Lepisosteus oculatus: one gene and its partners. The protein of the gene in region 4 interacts with the protein of the main gene of each other region in a pairwise test. Links are inferred from orthologs where the notes say so. Each region holds a gene or a part of one and is shown on either strand. Other genes may lie near its edges.

Region 1 (7,764 bases), on a different chromosome or scaffold from region 4:
TCCTCCTGAAGGGCTGTCTGAGGCTCGGCGCAGACTGACTTGTTCTGGCCGACTGCCCAGTTTGTTTGTTTTGGATCAGGGTTTTTTTGACGATGAAGAAACACGCAGATGGCCGAATTAGCCCAAGTGTTGCCACACTGGGGATGTGGTGTGAAGCCTTCTAGCTCTCTCGCCCCCCAAAAATGAAAGAAAAAATCATTTTGAACAACCTGCACCCTCCCCCCTCCGGCCCTGCACAGTGTGACAGCAGGAAGGCCTTGTTCAGAAGCGCATGTACAATGCTGGTCACTGCGTTAGAGAGGAGGTATTGCTGCTCTGGAATCTGTCCAGAGAAGGATCATCGGCTCCATTCCAGGGGTTGAGGGAGTGGTCTACACAGACACACGGGAGAAACTGAACCTTTTCACTCCTGAACACAGAAGACTACAAGGGGACCTCAGTGACCAGGTCAATCTAGCAGACTCCTGCAGCAATAACAACAAAACACGCACCAGAGGGCACAAAGGGAAACCCCATGAGAGTGCTTTTAAACCCAAGCAAAGGAGGCACTACTTTACACAAAGGGTCGTGGGAGTGTGGAACAAGGTATACAGTCACGCTGTTGAAGCCAACAGCCTGGCTTCTGTCTGGAATCATCTGCAAGAGACCCTTGGATCAATCAGCTACTGACGAGCTCAACGGGACGAGCAGTCTTCTCTTATTTATTACTTCATTCTCCTGATGGAAAGGATCGTGCTGGCCCTACTATGACCCGTTTTGTATTTTAATATTCATTAATCATTAACTGTTAAGCTCTAAAACGCACCCCGACACACATGGATATTAATCCAAATAGAGAAAAGGAACAGATCGCGTTAATATTTAATTTGTTTGTGATCCAGCGCAGGTAAATCGGAGGGATTCAACCGAAAGAAGAGTGAGCTGCTGAGCTGGAGCACAAAGCTCCAGCCTGTCCTGCAGGAGTGTCTACAGTGTCAATCGATTGCAAAGATGGTCTTTTGTTGACTGGCTTTTCCTGCTCTCGTTAAGCATGCCAATTCCTAAATGTCTGGGTACCATGCAGAGGTCTGCTCAGTGCTGAATGTTATTCGTATCCCCACTGCTTCAAGGTCTTCTATCGCCTGTGCCAAGTTGCCCCGAGTTTAACAGCAAATCAAATTAAGTAAAAAGTCCTGACGTGCTTGTTATTTTATCTGGTTATCCTACTGAAGACGCCAGGGAATCTGGAAAAAATGAGAAGCATTCCCTGCCTACAAGAGTGGTTTCTGGCAAGACAGCACTGAACAGATCACAATGAGCTCCCGGACCAACTTGAGATTCTAGGGTGCTGCCCTTACCAGGGGTACGATTCAGCCTTCTTCATCGGACAGAACCCCCAAAAATACACGTACTGTAGATGTCGGCAAAACGAGGGCTTAAAGCAGCCCTGTTCCTGGAGAGCCCCGGCTGTCGAGTCATTCTCGACTCCCCAGCGAAGCAGTTCAGGTCCAAAACTAGAACGAACGCCCTCTACCGACTAACTCCACTGCTGGACAGGGATCCGGAAAGAGAGGACAAGGCTCGGCTTCTAGTAGTGAAATAACCAGCGGAAGGGCCGGAGTGCCGCAGTAGAAGGAGCGAAAAGGTCAAAATTGAAGCCAAGGGGAGGAAGCAAAAAACTGGGAGGCGCGGGGGGGCTAGATTTGCAATGCAAACATTTCCCAGAGCGCAAAACACAGGCCCTCCCACACACGAGCACGGCTGGCCGGCGGGGGCGGCCCCAAGCCAGCCTCGCCCGCTGCCGGGGCCGCCCTGCTGGGAGACCCCCCTGCGCGCGGGGGGAGCTCGGGAGGCGCAGGTGGGCCGGAGTTCCAGAACCAGAGCGCCCAGGCGAAAACTACAGGGAAGTGCATTCAAACCTGTCAACGCGAGGCACTTCTTTACACACAGGGTGGTGGGAGTCTGGAACAAACTGACCAACCAAGTAGCTGAAGCTGATACCTCGACTACATTCGAGAACCAGCTAGATGAGATCTGGGTTCAGTCAGCCCAGATGTGCCAGACCTCTGTGCCAAATGGCCTCTGCTCATCTTCTTGATGTTCTTGTACCAGTAAACGGCACCGGCCCACACAGCACTCGCAGCTCCGGGTCCCAGCCCTGTAGTGTTTGCTGGGATGGCACGCCGGGTCCCGCTCATTCAGAACCTGATCGTTCAGACCCTGACGGAATCATGGGCCCGGGTTCATTTAATTGCCCTCCCCCGTGTCCCGGAGAGGCTAACGTTGCTGGCTCAGGGGGAGGGGCACAGGGTCAGGCTCACTCCCCAAGAGGAATCTACGGGTCTGTGACCCGGAGGGGGGCGTGCGTGTGTGTGACGGAGACAAGGCGAGAGTTTCAGACAATCGGAAAGAGAGCGAGCTGGCATGCATTTTCAATCTCTTCAGATTGCTCTTCGGCAGGAGCATTAAATGATGGATCACGCCGAGCCTCAGCTAGGCCCAGACTCTCTGAGCAGACAGCGCATCCGACAATCACTACCTGCTCCTTCAGGAGCTACTGCCACTCCCCACCTACCAACAGCAAAGTCTACCATTCACCGCAGAAATCTACAGTTTCACTTTACCACTCTGACCTTTTCCTACCGGAAATTAGGCTTCTGAAATGCTCAAGGCAGGCATATTTCCTCATAAACCTCTGGGGCCAGTGGGCTGTGTTAAACACATCAGCAGAGCTCTCAAAATAAAGGATCGTGTGCTCGATGGGCTCAAAAGGCTAGCAATCCAGAAGCCAGGACCACAGACACACCTACTGAGCACGATCCATCGACAAACCCCTCTGTACGATGCCGTAGTCCAAGGCACCGCACCCCGAAACCCTGGGTGGAAACAGGAGCCAAAATGGCTGCTGATCCAGGAGGGAAAGCAGCCCTGTTGCCTGGTCAGGCAGGAGTTAACAGGAAACTGTGCAGCTGGGGCGAAGTAAACAGACTGCGGCCAGGCGCTCTCAGACATGCCTGTATAAGGCTGTGCTCAGCGACACGCCGACGGGCTGAGTCATGCCCCACAAGGCACGCCCCCTCCGTCTCTCCCCCTGTGCGACTGCTCCCTCAGGAGCTCTCTGTACCTGCGCCTCCCGTCTCTCTTCTTCAGGCCCAGGCCCAGCCCCGCCTGCCCCTCTCCTCCCTCCCACACCCCGTCTCCCTGCCAGCCCTGGCTCGCTCCGCTCTACCTGCCCCCCCCTCCACTCCCTCCGAGTCTCCAGCCCCACCTCCCACTGCAGCCCTCTCCTCTCCCCACCAAACCGCTCAAAACCTACAATCACCAGCCTGCCTTCGGCTCACAGTCTGGGGTGTTTGTGCCTGCTCCTTTTTGTGCTCAGTGTTGTTTGGCAGTCTGCTGAGCTGGCTTGCGTCAGCTTGGCAGAGCGTCTCGCGCTTTTACTTACTGCAAACTTTTTTCCCTTAAAACAAGAAACCCTTCATGTGAATTATCTGTGCTTGTACTAGGGCTATCCTATCGGCAGCCTGCAGGCCTCGCCTCCCCCGATGCGGTCCAGAGGACACTGACAGTGAGAGGGATGTGGTCAGGGTAAACAGGAACACTGCTCTAGCCACTGATATTAACAAATGAAAAAAAAAAAGTTTTGAAGTCGGCCCGAACATAACTGTCAAAAAGTAGACGAGTGCAAGTACAGCTGCTGTTAATACATTTACCATCTTAAAGCGAGACTGTGGTAGACGATACCAGATATACAACAGGCTTATATAATTAGCTGCGTAAGCTTTCGGTAACAGAATGAACAAACGCAGCATTAATATGCAGCTCTGCAAAAGTGCAAATCTCGCAGGCACCTCAGAATACACCCCAAGCTAAGCACAGGCAAGACTGCCCCTCTGGTCTCCATACACAACTAACTGCAGAAATGAAACGCACACAAAGGTACATCATTTATCAAGATATGTGACATACGCCTGAAACGTGTTTGGGCGATTTGAGACACAGGACACAGATTATAGTGGTCTGGGCTCCAGGACACATCTTGGCTTTGAGCTCTCGAAGAGTTAATTCCACATTCCACCAGCCCCACAGGGCGTTTCAGACTGGAGCCTGCATTCTGGGAGCACTGCCGGTGTCTTAGGGCTGCGGGCGACTCACGGCCTTCGACAAGCGCGGGCGTGGCGGAGGAGAGAGGGTTCTGAAACGGAGAGAGCCTTCCACACATCGAGATAAACTGATCGCCGCCACTTTTTTCACAAGGGATCTGAGATAAGGCCTTGGAGGAAAAAAACAAGAACTTTAAGACCTCTGGTGCATTGGCCTGATGCTCACCTCCTTCCCACAGAGGAACAGGTAAAGGTCTATTCCATGCAGAAAGGAAAGGAAAAGAGAAAACGTTTCGGCTGTGGATCTTCTTCAGGTGTGTGCAGAAGGCCCCACATCCGAAACGTTGCGTCTCTCCTCATGTCTTTTCCTTTCAGCAGGGAGAAATCCTTGACCTGTTCCTCTGCAGCCGGCACACGCCGACACAGCTCCCTCCTCGAGCATCTCCTTCACACTATATATAACCAGCCTCACGAATGGACAGGTGATCCCAGCGTCGGTATTATCACATACACCCCTGGGAACACCGAATCAGGCTGTTACTTATCAGACTTCACATTACTGCGATTGTCAGCGTGAAGAGAGTGTGAATAAACCTGATGAAATGCGGCCAGCCAGCTCTTGAAATCAACAAACTTTCTCTCTGGATCTGTAACGTGCTTTAGGGAGCACAAATCCAGTTTGGGACTCTGCGAAACAATTCGGAGATCCATCTCTTGTGAAGCCGATGTCCTGAGCTCCCCAGCGGGGCTGCAGGTGCGCAACACTACCACGCACTCCGATGTCTGCAGAAGCGGACAAAACTTCGCAGAACGCAACTTGATTGTTATCCACAACCAGATGGAAAAGAACCACTGAAAACAATGTCCTCCGCTTTCACGGGGGGACAATGAGAACGTAGAACAAACTGCGTTCGTTTGTTCCGCACACTCATTGTTTCTTCAGCTACATCCTCAGGCTCTTGTGAAAGATGCTTCTGCAAATTCACAGTTTGCTAAAACCAGGCACTGTGGTTTGACTTCCTCAAATTCCTCTTCCCCCCCAGGGTCGGCGCAGGCGAGTCTGGTCAGCACGAGCCGCACGGAGCGGTAGCTCTGTCTGCGACAGCGGGGGCTTGGCTTCACACCGAGGAACGGCGGCAGGGTGAACCGGCCCGTCACGGTACCGGCTCGCCCCGGGACAGGCTTGGTCTTGGATACGGCCCCACTCAATGGAACAGTGTCATGAAGCTGTCAGGTGCACACGCCCCACTCCTCCTCTGAAGGAACCCCAAAACACTCGCAGGGAGATCTCAGGGGGCACGGGCAGAGAGGGACACCCCGAAAGGCATCAATTTGGGTGTGATGGTGAAGTTGCATCATTCCGCCTGCTGCTACTCTGCAAATTCGCAAAGGGCCGGCACTCGTAAGCAGCTCTGGATGGGAGATGTGCAGATGTGGCGCAGCCAGGGTGCAACTTCCAAACCCGCCGCACGCCGCTTCCTCCGGCGCATTTTCACACAATGACGGGTCCGCAGGGCAGTTCTCCTTTCCAGCAGATTAACTGCACCGCTCCTGTCCACCACCCGACACCAGGCGCAGAACAGGGCCCGCACCGCACCTGCCCAGTTTAAACGTATGGCATCCAAGAACAGACACAAACCAGAGTGGAGCTAAAGAACAGTAGCGTGTTCCACGCTCCTACAAGCCTTTGTGTAAAGAAGTGCCTGTTTTAAATGCACTTCCAAGTGGTTTCAACCTGTGCCGTCTGGTCCGCGTCTCACCGTTCATTCTGAAGAAGCCCACTGAGTGACTTTGTTGCCTTTGATGATTTCGATTACTTGGACGAAGACCCCTTTCAGTGTTTAGGACTAAAGAGCTTCAGCTCCTTCAGCCTGTCCGTGTGGGATGTTTCCTTAAGCCCCACAAAGAATACGAGCGTTACTTCCTGGTCTGATTTCAGAGCAGCAATGCATTTTTTTAGAGGACGATGACAACACTCATACAGAGCACTCTACATGAAAGCCTGAATACAACGGATCAAAGAGTTATGCTCCTTCCAACCCTGTACGTCAGCTGATGGAAAAGAAATGCATGTTCATGTCGCGGATGCAAAGTGATGCTGTTCTAAACTGATGTGTGCATCATGATGTGAGGGGGAGGGGGACTGTACGACCCTCCTGACAGGCAAAACTGGGAACTGCATTTCATTAAATAATGTTCATCGCCACTCTAACGAGCCACATTGTAGTTCATTATTCAGTGCGAATAATTCTTCACTCAACAGGCCTAACCACAGCTCAGCAGAGGAGCAGCAGAGCTCCGGCCCCTCCTCCTCGAATGGCCTGGCGGAGGGGGGTTGATGAAGCACAATTTCATATTCCCGCAGGCTCCTGTCGCACAGGGCTCGTCTGAGGACTGCTGATCAGCGCTTCCACCTTTGAAGCCGTTTCTTGCGAGACCGGAGAGCACGAAGCCCGGGCTTGGGTGCCGGTGTCCTGCGCTCTTTCCTGGGGTGTCCACCCATGTCCGGCGATTTCGCAGGCTCTGTTTCCTTCCACTCCAGAAACCCTCATCCCTTCAAGTCCCCACAAGACCCTGCACGCTCACTGTCCTCCTCCAGGCTACCAGTAATCACAGCACCCAGCAATGCAAGGCATGCAGGAAATGGCAGAGATTCAGGGCTGCGCCCTGGACTCGCAGAAGAGCTGCACTCTGTAAACTCACAACTCACACTCTCCCTCTCTGCCCCATAAACCTCTCTATTCCTTCGTTACCTGCGGAGCTCAGCACGCCTTGCGTACAACAACACGGTGCAGAGATGGAACTAGGCTCTCTGGTTCCGGTACCAGTCTGATCTCCCGCTCAGGTGAGCGCGGAGGTGGGCGTGGCAGGCTTGGGCCACTCTGCTGCAGAGCGCGACGCCCGGCGGTTCTGCTCCACGGGCACAAGGGGGCGCTTCAAATGTCACCGAACACACCGGGCAGCCTTCCTCTGCTCCCTCAAGAGCCTTCTGTCCGTGTGGCGGGAGGCTGGGGAGGCGTGGCTCCCAAAACAACTCTTGAACAGAGGAGGCTACGAGGGGATCCGATACAAGCAATCAAAAATCCTCAAGGCTCTGGCAAACCCAACCCAGCGGACGTCTTCAGAATCAAGGGTGAAACACGAACCAGGGGACACAAGGGGAAATGCATTTAAAACTGAGAACTCTTTTACACAATGGGTGGTGGGGGTGGGGAACAAGCTCGCCAACCATGTAGCTAAAGCCCGATACCCTGCCTTCTTACAAAAGACAGCTGGAGGAGATCCTAGAATCAATCAACTGGCTAACGGGCTGGTAGGGCCACACAGCTCCTCTCATTGCATTATTGGACTTTGATCCAACCAATAATGGCTTATTTTACTGGCCCTGTAGAACACTTAGACATGAAAAGGACTGGAAGTGTCTGTTTCTCATCGGATCAGACAGAGGATCTTTGCCAATTGTCTATGAGGAGCCCTTCAGGGGACACAGTTGTACTTGTCCACCAGCTTTGATGCCAGAAGGTCTGCAGGTCTCCTACCAAACAGCCCAGAAGTAACCTGGCTTATATTTGTAACTCTTAGGTCAACCAACATTGTTTCATCTCCTGGTCTCTGTTCACGTTAATCATGTGTGTGATTCCAGGACACAGGGGTGTCCAATCCTAGCCCTGGAGGGCTGCTG
Region 2 (7,183 bases), on a different chromosome or scaffold from region 4:
AATAAAGTGATCTTATACTGTATCTTCCAGTTCTGCGAAAGGCTTCTGCAGTACAGCTCCCTCATCTCTTTCACACATCAGATTTCTGGGCAGCACATTGCTGAGTGTCACATTCCCACCAAAACGCAAATTCCTTCCATAACTTAATGAAATTTGACCCTAAAAACCTTTACCAGCCCCTAGCACATAAAAAACACATTCACATGGCCATTTTTATCTAGGATCATCTTTATGTGAATCTTTAAATGAGCTCAGAAGATTATGAATGTGTACACAGAAGGCTCTCTAAAACAGCCTATTAAAGCTGTAGCTGAACTGGGATGATTGAATTGTACAGGTCCTGCTTAAACGCTGACATGATTTTAAATTTTATCTGTATGAGAATGTCAGTGTTACAGGCTGAATTGCCACCAAACAAAAAGAGATGGCATTGTGATGACCCCCGCTCCATATTTCAAGGGTGATCTGTCGTTTCTGTCATTTTGCAGGCCACTGTGAGAACGTGTTTATGTTCTGACATGTAATGTTTCTTCCATTAGGTAGCCAGTACACCTTTAATTAGCACCTTCCTTAAACACGCTTTATTTCTTTGTGGTGATATTTTTGTCTTTCGAGCCTTGTTGGCCTCCCGGGAGTTTCACAGTGCCGTGATTGTATAGTTACTGTTTGTGTGGTTTCCGTCTCAGCCCTGCCTGTCCTGGGGGTGTGATCATACTGTAATACAGACATAGCTCTGCCCCTCCTGGCCAGCTCATCAGTAGGGAAAGAGGCTCAGTGTCTTTTCACACCATTGTGCATGGCTTCCTCTAGACCTGATAGCTGGTGTCACTTTCCACCACTGATGAAACACTGCCTTCCCAGGCATGGCTATTTTGTCATGATCACACACAGCCATTACAAAACAAACACTACCAAGCCAGACTCCACTGCTGCAGTGATATTGTATTATTGCTGTTAGGTCTTTTATTGTTCTTTTTTTAAGAATGCATTGTTATTGGAATGTGAGGCAGTAAGGTTACAGAGTACAAGGCAGTGTTGCACTGCAGTAACAGTGGGTGGGATAAGATCATTTTGTGGTCAATTTCTTGTAGTAGGAATTTGTCTTTTCCCAAACCCCGACTTGCTCTCCATAAGACACACAGACAGGGAGAGAAGCTGGGGGTCAGAGCGCAGGGTCAGCCATTTATATGGCACCCCCTGGAGCAGCTGGGGTTAAGGGCCTTGCTCAGGGGCCCAATGGAGTAGGATTGCTCTGCCGGCTGAGGGATACGAACCCGTAGCCTTCCAGCCACAGGCACAGAACCTTAGCCACAGAACGACCACACCAGATTCAGTATTTTCAATCAGATACTGCTGATCTCAATGTACATGTCGCCTTTCAAGGAGCCTAAACATACACATTAAAACAATTTCTCTACAACAGAGAACACTTCAGAATGTACAAAAAAGAACAACAAGAAGAAGAAAGAACATTTACAAAAGTTACATGACCTAGGCACACAAATGGTCAAGTTCAAGGTCAAGTTCACGTTTATTTGTCATTCCAGTCACATACAAGAATACACTGGAATGAAATATCGTTCCTCCTGGTCCACAGTGCAAATACAGGCAGGACAGACAGGATACACATAGTGGAAAGTGCAGATAGTGCAAATTACACAATATACACAACACACTGGGGGGATTTAAACCCTGTTTCTGGAATTGGGGTGGGTGCAAGTAGATTCCAGGGTGTTGAGGAGCCTGACAGCCTGCGGGAAGAAGCTGTTACAGAGCCTGGTTAAACTTGTCTATAGCTCAAGAGTACATGGGTAATGATCGAACAATAACAATGGTACCAGCTCTGAACTCGGCCTAGTCCGTTATCTCATCCCTACCCCTGACATTTAGGAGAAAGCCCATGAAACAAGGTGGCTTTTGCAGAGAAAGGGTCGGAGCATTACAAATGCAAGTAGGAAGGGAATTCCAGAGAGTAGGAGCAATGGAACTAAAAGAATGAGGTCCATTGTTACGATCATTACAATGCAATGCAGTATAGAAGAGCATAGTGCAATATAAGTGCAGAACTTCTTCGGTGTGGCGTGGCACTATAAAACAGTAATGTAGTATTATTTTAGTGGGGTTCAGTGTTATTGAACTGTGATATTATTGGAGTTCAGTATTATTGAACTGGCCTACTGTGATAATTTGAACTATTTGATCTGCTACAATGTTAGTGTTAGTGTTGGTGAACTAAATTAGCTGCTCTGTTTCATCATTAGGCATTAGGCACCATACATACCGAGTCTCTGTCTCTTCCACAGTATATAGTAAAGCCCCTGCATGTACCTCCGGGGTGTCAGAGCTCACAGCGTGGCCTTCATGTCCCTCATGCTGAAGCCAAGGTTTGGCGTGACAAGTTGAACCTGCTCTTCCACATTCCCAGAGGGTACAGTCTACAGAGTTTGTGATGAGCACCCCCCACCCCAGAGCATTTTCCTTCTGTTCTGTTTGGACAGGACAGGGCTGGAGCAGTTAGCGGTTTCTGCCTCACCCTCTGCCTAACAGTGTGCTTTGCCTTTCATGCCCTTTTGTCTTTGAGAAAGAGTAGACTTTTCACTTTGCTCAAGGAAGTCAGAAACCTCCACTGCCCTAATTACAGACCCCAATCTGAGAATCTGCCCCTTACAGTATCAGTACCATACAGACTGGAGCTGAGGAGTCCACTGTTGGTGTGGCTCTGAACTATGTGACTCTGGTAAGGGCATCCCCAAAGCTAACGGACCCTGGCCTCCTGGGCATGAATAGAGCTCACACAGCATGGACAGAAGACAGATTTTATTCTGAAAATGCCAGAAATGTAGAGTACAGCATCTCAGCTATGACTGTGGCTCAGCAGATTATCTGCCTGCCCGCTGCTGGTGCTACACAAGAGCTGAGATGCCAGTTTGTTTGCATCATAGAGCAGGGGTATCTGATCCTGGTCCTACAGGGCTGGTGTGGCTGCATGACTTCCAGGTCTGAAGATCTGGAAGTAATTGGGTTGTTAAGCCAATAACGAGCTGACTGACAGTGCCGGATTTCCCATTAGGCACTTTAGACACAGTGCCTAGGGCCTAAAAATTTTTTAGGGCCACGAAGGAGGGAAACACTAGTGACTAATGAAAAATGAGCTGAAACAACATGCTTGCGATCGGCTCTAGGTGCTCCAAATCAATAATCATGCGCTATTTAGCGGCTGTTCTAGAAACGAGAAGTATCGAAGTGATGGTTGCTCAACTCGCTCCATCAATCACAAGGTTTAGCATGAGAATAGATAGATAGATAATACTTTATTAATCCCGTAGGGAAATTGATAGTATAAATCAATTAGTTAAAATAGTTTAAAGTGCATCATGTCAATCGACGTAATTCAACTGGGGTTTACCCCTCTCTTTGCACAGTTTGGAGTGCAATAACCTAGGGCCTACGAACATCAAAATCCGTCCCTGCTGACTGACTTGGAATGAAAACCGCAGGCACACTGGCCCTCCAGGACTAGGACTGTCCTCCCCTGGCAGAACCCTTTGTTATTTGGACTCTTTACTCTTCCAGAGGTCTCAAACAGTTCCTGGAAGGCCAAGTGTCTTCTAGTTTGTGTTCCAACCATGTTCTCACATAGCTGGTCTGATTATTTAAGTAACTGTATACTTGTAATATCTCTAACCAGGCTCTGAGGCGATTTATAGGAAACTGTAACTGAAAGTGAAAGTCTTGTTTATTCCACTCTAAAAGGCCTCAAGAAACATCCTGTTACATCCTGAAACTGTTACATGTCTGATTCAGAAAATAATTGGGTCAATTACTTAATTGACTTCCCAGGTTGGAACAGAAACCAGAAGACACCAGGCCCTCTGAAAATGAGTGTGAGACACCTTTGCTCTTCTAAACACGTTTTCACTTAGACTTCCATACTGGGATCTCAGATGGTTTGGTGGTATTGAAATGGAATTTCCTGTTTGCATTCAGGGTCTATTTCTAAGTGAATACTGGAAGATTCGATGCAACGCTGTTTCTGAGGCACAAAAACAATTTCTTCTTCTGAAATGCGGTTAAACCTCCTAAAAGCACTTCTGCACATTTATACTTAACTCTTTAGCGAAGGCTGAAGCTACAGTGCAGACGCTCACGTGTCGCTGCTGGGGGTAGGTGACGTCAAAGCCCAGCGATTTCTGCTAGTGACGGAGAGCGCCGGAAAGAGGAACTTGGAGAGTTTGTTTAAGTTTTTGTGTCGTTTTGCAGTAATATAGAAAGATGGTGAGAAAGTTGAAGTTTCACGAGCAAAAGCTCTTGAAGAAAGTCGATTTTATCAACTGGGAAGTGGACAACAACTTACACGAGGTGAAGGTGTTGCGTAGATTCCACATCGAGAGGAGAGAAGACTATACCGTGTAAGGTTTCTCTGCTGATTCAAACTAAACACGCTGGGCTGTGCGCTTTACTGCACACGGGAACAGACATAAATTGCGCAAGCTCTTTGTTGCTTCTGCGGTTTCGAGAAATAGGAAAATATCTGCCCTTTTTTTACAAACAGATAACTTGTAGCATAAGTTGTTCTGTACGCATGTTTTTTGAAAGGGTATTACTTGCTAACGGAACCCTTTATGCGTGTTTGTTGTGAGACCCATGCTTAAGAGGCTCGTAGAAACGCTGAAACTACTGAAGCTTCACGTGAAATACGCTTTAAATTGTAAGTCTCATGCTCAGACGTGGGCGCCGCCATGACACTTTTCTCTTGCCGCGGGGTGCTACATCGGTTGTCTTTTTCTTCGTCACGCAAGCACTTTTACTTTTAATCAAGTTTAGAACCAACTAAAGTAGATGAAAGTGAAGTTGACAGTGGCATTGCCGTTTGCGTTTAGGATTCGTAGCCTTTTCTCCTGCTGTTTGTGTCGATGGGTTGGGGGACTTCGAATCCCAGCATGCTCCGCGGTCTGTTGCGCTGCAGGCTGCCTATATCCGAGCGCGTGCGTGGTTTTCCTCACTGCGGTGCGTATCATGGATCAGTACTTCTTCTGCAAAACCAGAAAAAGCTCTGAAATAATATACCTCCTTAACCGAAACTGCCTGGGGTTTACGGCTGGAATTGTCAATGTTTCACTTCTTCATTCCTGTTAAAAAGAGTTAAATTGGGCTTCCTTGCCTTTCAATCGCATCAGGTCTGATTTTAACTCCTTGGAACAGCTGCACCAGAACCGCACACGGACTCTGGACAGCAGTGTGTAAAGGCACTCAGAATACTGCCTGGGTCTCTCCAGGCCATCGCTATAAATGAGAAGCTTTTCTCATTAGAGCCATCTGCTTAAATAAAGCATTAAACAAACCGCTCCTGCGATCAGTCATAATCTCCATACTGTTATACTTCATTTCTCTGTGCCCCCCTTCACTATCCACCTCTCTCGCTGTCATTATTTTCCTGCCGGTATCAAATCAAAGTTTATTTATCAAATGCTCAACAATACAGCGTGCAGCAGTAGTTGCTGGTAATGAAATGTCTTTTCTGCAAGCTCACAAAAATCACAAAATAGAGGTTATGAAAATAAGGTTACATACTAATAGATGTAATAGAAATTGAATAATGAGTCGAGCTGCTATGTGTCCATGGTGTATGCAATAAATACAAGTAGTGCAGTTATGCTGAATACAGTGAAAACTGTGTCCATGTAGCCATTACAGGTGATTTGCTAAAGGATCTGCAGGTTGGCTGTTTAGCAGTCTTAAACGGTACCCCTGTTCTTCTCTCCTGTTTGCTGTTGGTCCTCCCTGTTCACCCCTTCTCCCCCCTCTCTGCCCGCCTCTCCCGACAGGTACAACAAGCTCAGCCGTGAGATCCGGCAGCTGGCCCAGAAGATCCGGGACCTGAACGAGAAGGACGGCTTCCGCGCACAGAACACCGCGCGGCTGCTGGAGAAGCTGTGAGTCGTGGGGCAGGGCTGTGTGCGCGTGTCGGACACGGAGGGAGGGAGAGGCATTCGGCAGCGTGGGCTGACCCGGTCGGCCAGGCAGTCGGTCCATCGGTACAGTGTTGGGAAAGGAATGGACAGGAACAAAGTCATGGATTTATCTCATAAAGATGTCAACTGTGGTTTACAGAAATGCATTGTGGGATGCTCAGAGGGTTAAAACCACTGTTTCTCATATAGTGTGACCTGTGTGATATTACAGGATTTTCAAGACCTTTAATACAGCTGAAGGGCTGATATGCCCATTTTTACATTAATAAAGCAGGTCCAGCTTCTTATGAAATCCATTCTATTTCAAAACTTCAGCATTTGTCTGAGCTTCTAGCGATGATTAGTGATTTAGTTTTCATAGGCAAAAGACTTTGTGCCACTCATTCATTCACACTGTTTAAATTAGAAACTGTGCTGTTTTTTGGGGAATGCACATCCACAAAACACCGTTCAGTTTCACAAATTAAATGGAAATGAGTTTCATAAGTGTAGCATCCTTATATATTGTGGTATCTCAATTTCTCTCCTCTAGCTACAGTACAAAAGTATGTAGTAATCTTGAAAAACGTCTGTCTTTTTTGGATTGTGTTCAAGCTTTGTTCTTAATCACAGGCTTCATTATTTCAACTTTCTTTTTGAGGCTTTTTTTAAAATTTCTTGTAGAACTTAAAACATTTAATAGGTGTCAAGCCTGTGCTAATCAGTCCAGGACTGCCCTCATTCAGGTGTGTAAGGTGAATTATATGAAATATAGCCAATTGGGCTGAAGTAAAAGGAAGATCACAGACTCACTGTGGGAGGTGTCTGATACAGGGCCATTCTCTCCTGTCTCTGTTCATCGCTTTGATCACTTACTAATAGTCGTTTAGTCAGAAATAGGGGAGCAAGTGAGTCTGCGAGCCGAGGAGAGACTCGATTAAATTCTGTGGGCTGATGTTTTTGGAAATAATGTGCTTTAACTGAGGCCTCTCTGAAACCAAGAGGCGAGTGCTGAAACAAGCAGATCAGTTACAGGCAGCAGTTAGCTCTGCTGATTAAGGGCCCAGTTGGAATGAAAACCAGCAGACTCAGGGGTACTTCTGAGAGCCCCTGCTCTGAGCCCTCCGCAGTATGCACTTCTGCTGGCGTCTTTCCTCGTGCTTCTTCAGTGAAGCCCTGCTGCTCTCCAAACACGTTTTAATGTGCACAGTGGTGATTTTAAAGCAGTGGTG
Region 3 (7,349 bases), on a different chromosome or scaffold from region 4:
CTTATAGGTAACTTATAATTAAAATACAAATGCATTGGCTTTATGTTAATTTAAATAACATTGATTAAGTAAAACAAACAGCAGTAATCACAAACTTATAAACTCTGATTCCAGTGGATGCCTGCTACAGTATTTGCCTGCTCTGTCATTAGCACAACCCCTCTGTAATAAAACTGTCAGAGAGCCTGTAAAGGCACCTAAACTGGGAGCTCTTGTCACAATACCAAAACAAGACCATGTTGAGGTGCAGACACTGGGTCGCGGGTACTTGGGCAGGGGGCAGAGAGAGGCTTTCTCACTAGCTAGATTCATCGCATTATCCCAGTCTGTTGTGCAGCTAGTCTGAAAGTTGTACTTAACTACCTTCCGCCTGGATTCATCCTGCTCTGCTCTGCTTCCACCCGAAACCCCGTCGGCCAGGCAGAATCGCAAATTTGCGAATGTTAAAATTGCAGATGTCAAAACCGTGCTGTATTCAAAATCCTCAAAGGCGTTCACAAAACCAGTCCCATGAAACTGCCTTCAAATTCAAAGGGTAAATACGAACCAGAGGATACGACAGTATGTAACAGTGTATTTGAAACTGAGAAGAGGAGGCGCTTTATGTGAAGAGTTGTGGCAGTATGAAACGAGCTAACGAATCATGCTGTTGAAGCTAGTACCCTGGCTTCTTTGAATAAACAGCAGGGTGTGATGCTATGGTTAATTTGGGTGATGACATGGTTATGGTTAATTTGTTAATTTGGGTTATGTTTATGGTTAATTTGGGTGATGCACACTCGAAGAAGGCTCCACAGCCAAAATCTTGTGTTACCTTTCTTTTCTTTTCAGCATGAAATAAACCTTTCCTTGTTTCTTTGTTATGGTTAGTTAACTACTAACTACTAAATGGACTAGATGGGCCAAATTATCTCCTCATTTGTAACGTTTCTTATGCTCGTATTAATTTTTTTTCTGAAACATAATACTCCTCTCTGTGATTTGATAGTTGAAACAACAGTCCCATTGTCTTTTTACTCGTAAAATGTCAGAATTAGTCAATTTGGGAGTAAATATCCTGTTTACTTTTCCCTTCTTCCTCGAACACACAAGTGAAGAAAAAGATTATCTAATCTTGTAAACTGTAGCTGAAAGAGGCTGAACCCGTCTTCATGGATACCAAGATAATTACAGAAAAATGTGGGTAAAAGGACAGTATTTGTTGTGTTAAAAAGATTAAGTGAGGCAGCCAGCTAGATGCAGTTAAAGCTTTTAAAAGGGTAATTCACTCCCGTTTTTTTCTTTTTCCCTAAATAGAAGATTCTTAAGCTTTCTTGTTTGAACTTCCCACTGTGCTGTTTCTGTAGTATCCCCCAGGACAGTTTTTTTCTTTATTTGTCCTCATGAAAGTTGAATGACGAACGCTTCCCGTTACATCACGATTTAAAGGAAAATGGGATTTCTTGCTTTAACGATGTATGTTTCCTTCCTACATGTTTTTAGAAGACATTTTAATGCCAATAAATTGTCAATAAAATGTCAAAGAAAGAAAAGGAATAGGGACTGTTCCGAGCGCAGCTGGCCCTAATTAACTCCCATTACCCAGTTACCACACCACACCCCTTCCCTCACTACTTAAACCCTCTGCTTACTTTGTTCACTGCTCGGCATTAGGAAACCAGCCTGCCTCCTGAGCTCCTGTTGTTTTCAACTAGCTCTTGATCGACCTCTGTGCTTTGACCCAGCTTCAGCCCTTTGACCTGCCTTTTGCCTGCTCGTTCGGATTTGTTCGCCTTGGCCTTTATAAACACTACCCTGCACAGGGTTAACAGGGACAGAATATACAGATGAGGGAACAGATCACAGAATTTCATCAAAAAGTATATATTTTTGGTGTTACGGGACAGTTTGAGGGCAGCATGAGGGTGCAGTCAGTGGTTAGCATTGCTGCTTCACAGTGCTGGGCTTCTGGGATCAGTTCTGGTCCTAGTGCACTGTCTGCTTAGAGTTTGTATCTACTCACTGCGTTTTCTCCAAGTGCTCCAGTTTCCTCCCTCAGTCCAAAAACATACTGGTAGATTAAACTGGCCGTAGCGTGAGTGTGTATATATATTTATGTCTGTGTGTGCCCTGTGATGGACTGGTGTCTTGTCCACTGTGTGACCTGTCTTGCAGCCATTGCTTCCTGGGATAGGCTCCGGGCCTACGTGACCCTGAATTGGATAAGTTGATATTGAAAGTGATGATGTGATGATGATGTGACTGTACTAAGTACTAGGCTGTACTAAGTAGAATTTAACTTTACATTTTAATGACAATGTGGTCAGGACTGTTTCATATTAAGGAAACAGTGTCCTCTAGTTACTGTACCAGGGCAGTAGTTTTGGAAATTCTGGTCCAGAGAGAAAGGTGCCACCTACTTAACCACCGACACTACTTACAGGATGCGCTATTTTTTCTTAGCAGTCTCCTATCTCAGTACTTGTCGAGTCCAATCTTGCTTAGCTTGTGAGACCTGATAAGATCAGGCCAGAAGGCAATAATTAATTGCATTTATATAGCAATTCCAAAGGATTCCAAAATGCTTTGCAAATTCTGTAAATGTATCTGTGGGCTGCTTCAGTAGAATGCCTAGTATTCTTTCTGGCAGGCATTGTCAGTATGTGAGTGACCTTCTATAGTAACTCTCACTAAGATTGTCACAAACTGCTGTTAGGCCTTTTTATAAAACTACCTGGAAAAAAGAAAGTAGAAAAATCAAGGTGTGATGAAGCAGCAGTCCACTTTGTGAAAGATATTTTAACCTTGCAATGATTCCTAAAAACATTTGAATATATGTTATTGTTTTATATTTATAAAGATGCGCATTGGAAATCTTTTTACATTATAGGGTAGCACCATGAGAAAATAAGATTTCTTTATTTCCTGATCCAGTCTCTCTTTCTCTGTCAGTGAATTGTTCTCATCAAGAATGCAGAAGAAAAGAACAGCGAGTGATTCCATTTAAAGCACAGATGACTGTCTTTGAAATGTCACAGAAGCTTCTTGTGTGACTAAAGAGCTCAGATAGATATGAGCTGTACAGTTTAGTCATGTCGAGATAAAAGCATTCACATACCATGGCAGCTGACATCACTGCCTCTGTGTTCGGTGAAAGTTCTCTGTCCATCACCCTGGAGGGCATCGATTAAGCCTAAGCAAGCTTCTCAGTGAAAAGCAGAATCTAATACATTGGTGTCGGCAGAAGTGCTGCTCTATTATTAGTGATTAGTGATGTGTTGGTTTTAGGTAGTTCCTGATGCTTATTTAGTCAGCTCTATCATTTTATTGTTGCACATAAGAAAATTTGTGTCTAAATGAAGGCTTTTTCTATGCCATATACACGCTGAAAGCCATTATCAATCAAATAATTAATGCCTGGTGAACTACATTTACAAAAGAAAAGCCATTTGCTGTAGCTTTACAGCATGGAATTGTTTTATGAATTTAAAAAATCAGTGGACCCTGACTGGCTCAACCAACTGGTTGTTCCAGTGGGCAGGAAGGGCTCTATAGTCCAGGCATCACTGGTGTTATTCTGGCCTGTCCTATGAGCCAGCTGAGGCAGAGATTCCCAAGTAGCTTGGCACTGGCCACAATATTTTTGGCCAGCCATGCAGAGTATCCTTGCCTTGTCCATCAGCAGCACCTCTTTGCTCTATGAGATACCTTTGCAGGGGAGTCTTTTGTGTCATTGCAAGCGTTCTAGCAGTGAGTCAAATTGAGAAGGAATTGGGAATTTCAGGCTAGGAGGGTATTAAAGAAGATTTCTTGTGTTTGCTCATCCATCCATCCCTTTTCTAACAGTACAGGGTTGCAGGGAGCCTATCCTGGCAAGCAACAACTGCAAGGAAAGGATACATCCTGGATGGGACATCAGTCCATAGCATAGGAAAATTGGCCCTGGTGTGAGTATAGTACTGTTCTTGCATGTCTTTGTTTGTCTCTGTGGGCCTTGTGATGGGCTTGCATCCCGTCACAATCCAGAGTATTTCTGGCCTTGATTAAAGTGGTTAGAAAAGGGGTGGATATATATGTGGTGCCTCTTTACTTGTGAAATTTAATTCTGGTCTGGAACTCAGGTTAGCGAATGCACGCTGTCATAGAATGATGCATTTAGTAACTCTCAAGGGAGATGTTGAAAGGAATTAAGTTGATAACTGTTAGAGTGGGCAGCTATATCGGTCTGGGAACTTCATTCGAACATTTTGAGTTTAATTCCACATTGAGAACATGAAAAGTAAAGCATTTCAGCTGTGGAGCTGTCTTCAAACATCAGTTAATGAGTCCAGTGCATTCTTTGATTTTGCTTTTCAATGTGGACTTAACCTTATGTTCTTCCTAAGATGGTAAATTAAGTTTTTAGCAAATATATAGTATTAACGTTCAGTTTTAAACTCCTTCTAGACAGTCCATGTATTGTTCATTAGAGCTGAGTGACTTATCAAGGCTTATACATACTTATACATACATATGTCATACAATGTTGATATAGATAGATTTCATTCAATCTTTTAATGCATTTTTAAAAAATATTTTTTTATTTATACCTGTAGGGCATAATGTAAAAGATATGTTGTGTTTCAGAATTGTTCCTTGTTTGTTCCTGAGGTTTCAGGCAATGTGTTTCTATTGGCATGTAGAGAATTGTGCAGATAAAAGCTGTTGAGTGAGGTCTAAATTAGGAAGGTGGTTTGATAAAGAATACTGAACGAATGGAGTTGGGTTGGGCTGAGGCACTCAGAACTGCTGTCGCAACCCCTAAAGGAGAAGCAGAGCACACAGTCACCCAGAAAGTTCTTTTCTCTTCTGGTTTAAAATTCAGAAGCTGTGTGATTCCAAGGACATGTCTGAGGAAGATACTGGGGTAAACATGAAAAAGGAGGAGGTATGTGTTGTCAGCTCTTATTTTTGTGCAGGGGTGGGGAAGGGGGAGCATAGTTGTTTTTTCTGATGACCTTCGTTGAAATCAATTTTGAAATGCATTTGGAAACGCTTTTCATTTTTCTTCCTCAGGCTTTCAGTAAGCCCATTGTTGAGGACAGGAACTTAGAATTTGCCAAGAAGTGCAGCGAGTTGATAAGTGATGTAAGTATATTTTGGTATTTACAATGACTAGACATGGCTGCACTAATTTGCATTTTGTATGGGTGTTATTGCCACTTCTAAGCCTGCCATTATACACGAGACCTTGATTTGAGAAATCCGAAAGGTTTTAGTGACAAAGCCATTGTGATCAAACCTTTGGCTTTTAGCCATTAATCTGCGTAGTGGGGAAAAACCTATTAAAATTCCCCATTGGTCCAGCTCATGAAAAGAAAGGATGCTTGTTATGTGTATGGTGTAGTGCTTAGGTGTGAAGTTGGTTGAAATAGTGTTATGAGGGAAGAAGCTGTGCAGAAAAAAGGATAATGTAATTATATCATCACTTGTTGGCGTCATTTACTAGAAAAACCTATCATGGTGCCAGGACACTTGCCAGGAAAAGTAGACTATGAAAGGATGAATCAATGGATATCTTTTATGGCTTTATGGCTAATAAATGGAAATATCCTTAAGTACAACACTGACCTGTAGAAACGTTGCAAGCCAGTGCTTAAATCCATAAAAGCATACCTCATTACATAAACTAAGACTTAAAAATGCGAGTTTAATTCAGTAATAGAACACTTCTCAGAATCTGTCGGGCACCTACAGTAGTACCAGTGCACTTCAGAGTTCAACACCGAAAGCCTTTGTAAGATAGTCATACAGCATTTACTGTATGAACATGTTTTTTATGTAACCAAAGTTATATTTAAATAAATGTTCCCATCAATGGAGAGTTAAATTCTGTTTTCTTATGTCACTACTTAAGTCACTACTACTACTGTGTTTAGAACCTCATCTTATATTCCTAAAAATAGATAATGACTTCTGGAATATTACTATGGGGGCATTGTTCATACAGTCATACAGTACATTAAATGTTTTTAATGATTGAAACAAGCTAAATGAGAAATACTGTTAAAACATGCAACATTTCCAAAAACATTGTGAAGTGATGTTATTGTATTATCATTTAAAAGATTATTTAGTTTGGAGAAACGTCTGGACTCCTTTAATGGCCTGCCATTGCATACAACACCAACATTACAGTGTACTAACCACAGAATTATTCATGCTCATATTTTGCTCACAGCTTTCTATTAGTCAAAACAGGTGGTATGTGAATGTTAAATTAATATGCCCTTAAAAGTTTAAGGATACATTCAAGACGTAATCCATAGAGAGAAACTTTTAAAGGCAAAAATGGGGTAGGTCAATTACTTTTCATCTACCAAGTGAAAAGTTTCTTTTTTTGCACATTTTCATACATTGGAAGTTTCCCTAATTGCTCTCTATGTGATCCAACATTAATACTGAGCAGTTATGAAAAATCCTATAATTAAAATTGTGTTTGCTGCTTTGCAATGCTTAATGACATGCTGTCCTCCTCCAGTGCTGTGTGTGATCAAGTGCTTCAATAATTTTGACACTCCTCATCAGAACTGGTCTCTAAAGCCAGATGACACCCCAAGTGCTAAGTAATTAGCTGCAAATTTGAATCATGGAACATTCTGTAAAATGAAGGGTTTAGTTTTAGGTCATCTTATTACTGAGCCCCATTTCTATGTTGTCAAATGTTATTACCTACATGGGGTCTAAGTTTCAAAACCCATATCTTGCAATGAGAAAGAATGGGTTTGCTTTTGAACTATAATGTGACCGAAGCTTTGGACTTCCTGCAAACCTCATATGGGACTGTAGTGATGTGATGGTTTGAGTTTACTTACACAATTAAAAACTGGGAATGTGAACTCAGGGACTGCAATATGGCTAATAGGAATTAATCAATCAGATCAAACAGTGATCTATAAAATACAAAGAATACAATATACAATTGTATTAATAGTTTATTAATAAAGTAATAAAACATGCAAGATAAACTAATGGAAGATTATATATTTATAAATGTATAAAATACAAATGGATGGTTAATCATTCAGATTTAATATAATATGGGGTTAAGAGATGCTATAATTCTTTTATTCTTTTGAATGTAGTCAAAGTCATAATAATCATTCTCTTATAAACACATCAACATTCATTACTGCTTGAAAGACAAGTAAATATTCAGTTACCTTCCTGGATTAATCTTTATCAAACATATTTTTCAATAATAGTTTAATTTGTGAATTTTATAATGTAAACATTGAATGCATACCCATGGAAATAAAAAACCCTGGGCAGTCCAGATGAGATTTGTATAATTGCAGAAGGGAGAGAAACCGAAAGACCCACGTCATGGC
Region 4 (7,978 bases):
CGGCCGCACCTCTCGGGGTCCCGCCGCTTCCTGTGCAGTGACGTCAGTCCACTGATAACTGGGGTTTCGTCACAGCACTCTCGAACTTTAACACACAGAGCTCTCACTGTGTGACTGTGCTGTAGTGTCCAGTCAGTCAGTCAGGGTCACTGTGCTGTAGTGTCCAGTCAGTCAGTCAGGGTCACTGTGCTGTAGTGTCCAGGCAGTCAGGGTCACTGTGCTGTAGTGTCCAGTCAGTCAGTCAGGGTCACTGTGCTGTAGTGTCCAGTCAGTCAGTCAGGGTCTCTGTGCTGTAGTGTCCAGTCAGTCAGGGTCACTGTGCTGTAGTGTCCAGTCAGTCAGTCAGGGTCTCTGTGCTGTAGTGTCCAGTCAGTCAGGGTCACTGTGCTGTAGTGTCCAGTCAGTCAGTCAGGGTCTCTGTGCTGTAGTGTCCAGTCAGTCAGTCAGGGTCACTGTGCTGTAGTGTCCAGTCAGTCAGTCAGTGTCTCTGTGCTGTAGTGTCCAGTCAGTCAGTCAGGGTCTCTGTGCTGTAGTGTCCAGTCAGTCAGTCAGTGTCTCTGTGCTGTAGTGTCCAGTCAATCAGGGTGTGTGGACATTTTTTTTTAATTCTTTTTTGCTCTTTGTGCCCAAAAAGAGAAAAAATATTTAGATCACGTATTGAAAGTCTGGATAGTCTTACATTGTTTTTGGTCTGGATCAGATTCTTTAGCATCAAGCATTTAATCAAATTATTTTTTCCAATATTCATTTATACTACAGTATAAATAAACATAATCTAGAGCACTATGACTAGGTTGTGTCCGGTGTTCATTTTGTTGACAACATTTATGGTGAAAATGTTCCTCAAGGACCCGCTTTTCATTCTAGTTAACAATGATAAAATGCTCAAGAAAATAATCTACAATGATGATAAAAAAAGGTTAAATTGTTTTCCATTTTTGTCTGAGTTAATTAAGACAAGACAAAATGATGTGTTAAACTAAAACTCATACTGGAATCAATTTCATCACAAGGTTCTCCGTTTGTGATTTACTGTCTAACATGTTACTTTCTGTCCACATGGACTAGAAGAGTCTTGAGCCCTGTGACTGGGCTGTCAGTGTGTCCACAGGGACTAGAAGAGTCTAGAGCCCTGTGACTGGGCTGTCACTGTGTCCACAGGGACTAGAAGAGTCTTGATCCCTGTGACTGGGCTGTCAGTGTGTCCACAGGGACTAGAAGAGTCTAGAGCCCTGTGACTGGGCTGTGTCAGTGTCCACAGGGACTAGAAGAGTCTAGAGCCCTGTGACTGGGCTGTGTCAATGTGTCCACAGGGACTAGAAGAGTCTAGAGCCCTGTGACTGGGCTGTGTCAGTGTGTCCACAGGGACTAGAAGAGTCTAGAGCCCTGTGACTGGGCTGTGTCAGTGTCCACAGGGACTAGAAGAGTCTAGAGCCCTGTGACTGGGCTGTGTCAGTGTGTCCACATGGACTAGAAGAGTCTAGAGCCCTGTGACTGGGCTGTGTCAGTGTGTCCACAGGGACTAGAAGAGTCTAGAGCCCTGTGACTGGGCTGTGTCAGTGTGTCCACAGGGACTAGAAGAGTCTAGAGCCCTGTGACTGGGCTGTGTCAGTGTGTCCACAGGGACTAGAAGAGTCTAGAGCCCTGTGTCTGGGCTGTGTCAGCGTGTCCACAGGGACTAGAAGAGTCTAGAGCCCTGTGACTGGGCTGTGTCAGTGTGTCCACAGGGACTAGAAGAGTCTAGAGCCCTGGGACTGGGCTGTGTCAGTGTGTCCACAGGGACTAGAAGAGTCTAGAGCCCTGTGACTGGGCTGTGTCAGTGTGTCCACAGGGACTAGAAGAGTCTAGAGCCCTGTGACTGGGCTGTGTCAGTGTGTCCACAGGGACTAGAAGAGTCTAGAGCCCTGTGACTGGGCTGTGTCAGTGTGTCCACAGGGACTGGAAGAGTCTAGAGCCCTGTGACTGGGCTGTGTCAGTGTCCACAGGGACTAGAAGAGTCTAGAGCCCTGTGACTGGGCTGTGTCAGCGTGTCCACAGGGACTAGAAGAGTCTAGAGCCCTGTGACTGGGCTGTGTCAGTGTACTTGACACAAGCTCGCTCTACATCAATATCAGTGTTAGGTCGTGCATTATGCTTGCAAGTTACAGATAGTGCATATATCTGTCTCTCAGCCAGTCTCCCATTTAGTAGCAAGAGTGTCAGTTTCTTTCCATGTCCAGTATCAGTCATTTTAAAGAAGGTTAAAGGGAATCGCCAAGTAATCCGCACACGCAGCAGGACAGGGGACACAGTGAGAAGAAGGAAGTAACAGGGTTTAGGACGCAGAACTGAAGCAAGCGGTGTAAACACTTGACAACATGAACATGCATTCTCTATGTGATCGAGTCCCGGGATTCACACCTTCTGACTTCCACAGTTGCTTGGCGTGTGGGTCCTGCCAGATGTGGCACCCAGAGGCTCGCTAAATAAAGTTGCCGCGCGTTTCTGACCAGCCTAGCCGGGCATGGGGGGGAGGGAAAAACCGCGACAGCGGCAGGACGGCGACGCTGTGCAAGGGGTTCGAGGCGGCCGGCAGCAGCTGCCGAGCCTGTCCTGACTAGCGTTTGTGCCCGTTAAACAGCTCGTCTCTCTCTCTCTCACTCTCTTACCCTGTGCCAGGCTGCTCAAGACTCTTCTCTTCTGCCTGCTGGCTGCCTAGGGGGCTTGAAACACCGGCGAACTCGTCCTCCTCTCTCTCTGTTCTCTGGTCGGGGGGCTGCGCCGCCGTCCTGGTGGGTCCTGTACTGAACTCCCTCTCTCTCTCCCTCTCCCTCTGTTTCTGCCTCTCGCTGCCACAGCTGTGGCACCACTCCCTCTCCACACCCCCGTCTCTCTCTCTCTCGCTCCTTCCTTCTCTCAGCGCCCCAACAAGTTCCCTCTCGCCGGGAAGAGAGGGCAGGCAGAGGGGCCCACGCCCTCTGGGCAGCCCGTGTTAACTGTGCATCGGGATTATCAACCTCCTTCCCTCCTCCTGCCCCCCTGCTGCTCTCCACCCCCTCTCCTCCCCTCCCCCCCTTCTCCTCCTCTCTCCCTCTCTCTTAATTTGGATTCTTGCAACATTCTTCACGGTATGACATCAGCGCTCTGCCTGCACTTCCTTGTAAGGTCAGAGGCAGAGAGCGAGGGCTGTGTGTGTGTGTGCGCCCGCGCGCGCCCCAGGCAGAGGTGAGGGTTGATGAAGTGCAGGTGCCCCGACTTGCACGGCTCCCCCCAGACAGCGAGGGGGGGGGGTAACACAGGCCGATCGGCCCGCAGCACGAGTCCCTGAAGGCAGACCGTGTGTGTGTGTGTGTGAGCGAGAGAGAGGATGAGCACACGGTGAGTCAATATGAGCTCATCCCTTCAGGAGCAGACCGCTGGACACTGCCCCCGCCCCCCCCCCACAGCCCGCCGAACATCCGCTGTCCGAGAAAGACGAGGGAGACGGCCCAGCTGCTTCTCTGTTTTTTTTGGGGGGAGGTTCAGAAGAACTGGAGACCGGTTACAAACGAGAGGGGCCCACCTGACCCGTTTGGTAGTTAGTCGTTTGTTTTTCCGAGCTTCGCATCCAGCTGAGTCTGGGGAGGAGTCAGGGTCGCAGCTTGTTCCACACCCCCACCACCCTCTGTGTAAAGAAGAGCCTCCTGTCCCGACTGGAGGGTCCCATCCAGCTGGGTCTTGAGACAAGCCAGGCTCACGGCTTGAACAACTTGGCCAGGTAGCTTGTTCCTTTGTGCAAAGAAGTGCTAAGACGTTCCACCCTCCCACCACTCTTTGGGTAAAGAAGTACGTGCTGTCCTGATTGGAGGATCTCCTCCAGCCGTGTCTTGAGAGAAGCCAGGGTGTCGGCTTGTTCCACCCTCCCACCACCCTTTGTGTAAAGAAGTGGCCCTCCCTCCCCCCCTAACTCATTCTCCTTTAAAAAAAAAAACAGTTTCCTGCAGATTCCACTTGAATCCTCGGATATCCTCAGCAGACCCCACTCACGCCCTGTTTCTTCAGCATACGTGTCTCATTCCTGTCTCCAGCCACCCCTCTGCTGCTCTTCTCTGCCTGTCTCTCTAGCGCCCCCTGCAGGCGCCGGTCTGCCATGGACTCTGCTCATCACTCCCTTGTCCCTTTCCAGGAATCCGGATCCATCGTTTCTATAGTTTTATTCTGGCATCTTCAGCTGGGAACTTGGATCAGGATCCCATGAATGTGTTGTGAATACATGGTTTTGTTGTTGTGTCTTCCTCTTTCTTATCATCCTCTTTAGTATCTCATGTTTTCTCTTTCATGGAATTGCAAGTACTCGTACTCCTCCGGCCTGGGTGATTGTTAAGCTGCTTTTTCTCATCGCAATCGCTCAGAAGTCGTACTCTTTCCCTCGGCGGCTCGCGGTCCTGGCCCCGTAATGCGGAACTGGAGGTCGCCCCGGGAGAGAAGCATCTGCCCTGCCAGCCGCACGTTCAAGCCCAGCGGCGGAGGCTTCCGAGGACGGCTCGACTCCGGAGCGTCCGCCGCGGCGCAATACCGGCCGCGTCCACAAGAGCGCAGCATTGCGACACATTTCCGCCCAACCCCCGCGGTCTGCGGCAGCGCCGCCTCCGCACCGGCGCCATCGATCTTCTGAAAACACGCACAGGTGCGACAGGAGGCGCACAGGTGCGACAGGAGGCGCACAAGGAGGAGGAGAAATACTCGGTGTTCTCTTATTTTGGCCATACTGCCACCACGTCTATTAAAACGCCTTTATATTTAATATAAGAGTTAACCCAGCAGCCCCACTGTGTAACAGGTCAGGGGCCGAGGAGAGAATTTAATTCTCCAGTTGAATTCAGGGCTAACTTTACAACAAAGAGCCAACGGGATCTCTAATGAACAAGTAGTCCAGACCTGCGGCTTAACATCTTGCCTGATCGCCATACTGGGGCACTGGACTGGCAACTGTGTCCCAGAGGATCAAGCGTCACCTACTGGTCCACCCACGCCACTCTCAAGCCATTTTTTATGTCTATCAGTGTCAGACACTGAAAAAACACTTATGTGTGGTTTGTGGACACTGTTACCAGTCAATACCAGTTAGACGGTAACAACATTTTGATGCACTCGAATACTTAGACCACAATATCACGGCTACAGCAGTTTAATCACCTAAAACACTCACTGACCAGTGAGGACAGGCTCCGTGACCACAGAAAACTGGACACCGGCAGACCTGGCTGTCCAGAGAGGACAGGCTCAGGGACCACAGTCTGGACAGAGAAACTGGACACAGGCAGACCTGGCTGTCCAGAGAGGACAGGCTCAGTGACCACAGCCTGGACAGAGAAACTGGACACCAGCAGACCTGGCTGTCCAGAGAGGACAGGCTCAGTGACCACAGCCTGGACAGAGAAACTGGACACCGGCAGACCTGGCTGTCCAGAGAGGACAGACTGTGCTCTCCCTGCCGGCAGGGAGAAGCAGAGACAGAGATGCACTTCCTGCTGTGCTGGGAGAAACACACAGGGATTAGAGAAACCTTCTTCCGAACAAATAACAAACCAAATCTCAGCGCTCCCACACCTGCCAGGATCAGTCCTACTGGGAGAGGAAACTGGACAGAGCTGCAGCCCAGTGTGTGATCTCCTGTCCCAGCCTGAGACAGAGCGGGAGCCTCTCAGATCACAATATTGTGTTATTTAACGAAATGTCTGCAAGCATGTTCCCGCGGAGTCCTTGAGCTGGCAGGGCAGTAATTCGTCGGTCATGCCAGAGCAGCTCTGGCAATTGGAAGGGGCAGAGAGAGGGAGGCTTATGAGCAGTACTGGGTTCAGTGCCCTTCTCTAATTCAGAACACCTCTCCTCCCGCACTCCCCCTCCCCCTCTCCTCGCCTCTCCTCAGCAGAATGCTAATCTGTGCATCACAGCATCTTATCTGTTTAGTATGTCTCTGAGCGTCCCTCCCCTCCCTGCCTCTCCTAGTGTGAATGCATAATACGTCCCTGACACCCACAGTCTGTGTGTGTGTGTCTGAGGTGATTCATGTGTGCATGTGTGAGTGTCATCTGCCCTCGCATCTCAGAGCTGACTGTGTCCTCTTCCATTCCCCCTCTCCCTCCTCTGCAGCTCCGATAGACAGACACGCCGACACGCAGGCAGGCAGACAGGCAGGCAGGCTGACAGGCTGACAGGCAGACATACAGGCTGACAGACAGGCTGACAGGCTGACAGACAGGCTGACAGGCTGACAGACAGGCTGACAGGCAGGCAGACAGGCTGACAGGCAGACAGGCAGACATACAGGCTGACAGACAGGCTGACAGGCAGGCAGACAGGCTGACAGGCAGGCAGACAGGCTGACAGGCAGACAGGCAGACATACAGGCTGACAGACAGGCTGACAGGCAGACATACAGGCTGACAGGCAGGCAGACAGGCAGTCAGGCAGGCAGGCAGACAGGCAGTCAGGCAGTCAGGCAGACACACAGACACACAGACTGACAGGGAGACAGGGAGACAGGGAGACAGGCTGACAGACACAGAGAGATTGATCACGGAGAACAGAGAGAGAGAGTACGTGATCTCCCGTCCCAGCCTGAGGAACAGTGAACTTGTCTCACAGTAATGCTCAATATGTAAATATTTTATGATATGTCTTTGTTGTAAATGTCTGTCGAATGTATTTTATTTCTATTTTTTGTTGGGTTTCCTGTTAACTTCATTTTCATTTGCTTCGGCAGCGCTGATTGTACCCATCGGCCCCGCTACTGAAGCACCTTGAGCTGAATGGAATTGATAGAGAGATCTGAGCACGGCGAGAGAGAGAGAGAGAAGAGGAAGGGAGTGGGGAGGAAAGAGGGAGCGGGAGACGAGCCCGGGGGGAGGAGAGGGAGGGGCGCAAACAGGCACACGGAGCGACTGAGGAATACCCTGTAATACAATCTCACAGCCCTGCGATTCCGGATCAATGCGAGGGAGGGGGAGAGAGAGAGAGAGAGTGTGTGTGCGTGTGAGCGCGGGCGTGCGCGCGCGCGTGTGTGTGTGAGTGAGAGAGAGAGAGGTGGAGGGAAACAGCTGTACTGCATTGTAAAACAGACGGGGAGAGAGAGGAGAATCCCCTCACTGCTCTAGCACAACCGACCCCCCGGAAGAGCAGAGCCCAGCCACTCCACTAATAATACCAATTAGCCGAATCGGGATCCGAAGTGCAATTGAGCCAGCTGCCTGCACCGAGAGATTTAATTGCCTTTTATCATTATCACCATTCCTCTCCCCGTCTCTCTCTCTCTTCCCCTCTTTCTCCCCTCCCTCTCCCTCCCTCCCTCCCTCTCTCCGTCCTCCGAGCTGGGAGCCGGTTCTTGGCACTGCAGCGAGAGGGTGGCCGAGCACCCGGCGCAGACCGGCGACCGGACTGGCTGAGCACGCCGCTACATTAACACCGGGAGAGAGAGAGAGGAGGAGGAGAGAGAGAGAGAGAGAGGAATCCACACACCCTCTCACATCCACACGCTCTCTCCCGGAGATACACACACACACACACACACACACACACACGGAGACAGGCACGCAGGGAGACGGAGAGAGGAAGAGATGAATGGGAGAGGGACTGGACTGCTGGCTCTCCGAAGGTTGTGCACAGGCCTCCACTGCCACTAAAATGGGATGCATTGGCTCAAGAACACTGAGTAAGGCTTTTTCCTTTGAACGGGGGGTGGGGGTGTGGGTGGGGGTGTGGTACCAGCCAGCACTGGGGAAACGGGGCAGGGGCAGATGCTCATCTTCTGCTGGGGGGGGGGGTCGCGGAGTATCCTACCGGTGTATAAAATTCCCCTCCGATCGGCTTTGCCTGCAGCAACGTGAACGCTCCATGTGGGTGAAGACCTCGGGATAGCAACTTGGTCACCGATTGGCATCTGTGTGTGAGGTCCCTGGGGGTGTGTGTCCAGCCCGGCGTGTGTGTGTGTGTGTGTTCAGGTATTTCTTGGGCGGGCGAG

The links.
Region 1: the proteins of zyx (region 4) and vaspb interact in binary tests that used the Homo sapiens proteins (3 or more experiments, as listed by UniProt). The link is inferred for Lepisosteus oculatus from reciprocal best matches to the Homo sapiens genes ZYX and VASP.
Region 2: the proteins of zyx (region 4) and imp3 interact in binary tests that used the Homo sapiens proteins (3 or more experiments, as listed by UniProt). The link is inferred for Lepisosteus oculatus from reciprocal best matches to the Homo sapiens genes ZYX and IMP3.
Region 3: the proteins of zyx (region 4) and nebl interact in a two-hybrid assay, tested with the Homo sapiens proteins (2 studies listed by BioGRID and IntAct). The link is inferred for Lepisosteus oculatus from reciprocal best matches to the Homo sapiens genes ZYX and NEBL.

Annotation. Positions count from the first base shown.
Region 1 is NC_090698.1:2,213,424-2,221,187, reverse strand, and holds the start of vaspb (vasodilator-stimulated phosphoprotein), read right to left. Parts: upstream 3,007-7,764; 5' UTR 2,992-3,006; coding exon 2,786-2,991; intron 1-2,785. UniProt on the Homo sapiens protein: Ena/VASP proteins are actin-associated proteins involved in a range of processes dependent on cytoskeleton remodeling and cell polarity such as axon guidance, lamellipodial and filopodial dynamics, platelet activation and cell migration.
Region 2 is NC_090704.1:31,046,205-31,053,387, forward strand, and holds the start of imp3 (U3 small nucleolar ribonucleoprotein protein IMP3), read left to right. Parts: upstream 1-4,164; 5' UTR 4,165-4,272; coding exon 4,273-4,409; intron 4,410-5,825; coding exon 5,826-5,933; intron 5,934-7,183. UniProt on the Homo sapiens protein: Component of the 60-80S U3 small nucleolar ribonucleoprotein (U3 snoRNP). Required for the early cleavages during pre-18S ribosomal RNA processing. Part of the small subunit (SSU) processome, first precursor of the small eukaryotic ribosomal subunit.
Region 3 is NC_090701.1:17,879,961-17,887,309, forward strand, and holds the start of nebl (nebulette), read left to right. Parts: upstream 1-4,349; 5' UTR 4,350-4,364; coding exon 4,365-4,367; intron 4,368-4,745; exon of another isoform or gene 4,746-4,843; coding exon 4,844-4,906; intron 4,907-5,034; coding exon 5,035-5,106; intron 5,107-7,349. UniProt on the Homo sapiens protein: Binds to actin and plays an important role in the assembly of the Z-disk. May functionally link sarcomeric actin to the desmin intermediate filaments in the heart muscle sarcomeres.
Region 4 is NC_090718.1:2,071,768-2,079,745, reverse strand, and holds the start of zyx (zyxin), read right to left. Parts: upstream 3,020-7,978; 5' UTR 2,649-3,019; intron 2,611-2,648; exon of another isoform or gene 2,401-2,610; intron 181-2,400; exon of another isoform or gene 1-180. Other genes in the region: fam131bb (protein FAM131B), read left to right, coding at 7,579-7,669. UniProt on the Homo sapiens protein: Adhesion plaque protein. Binds alpha-actinin and the CRP protein. Important for targeting TES and ENA/VASP family members to focal adhesions and for the formation of actin-rich structures.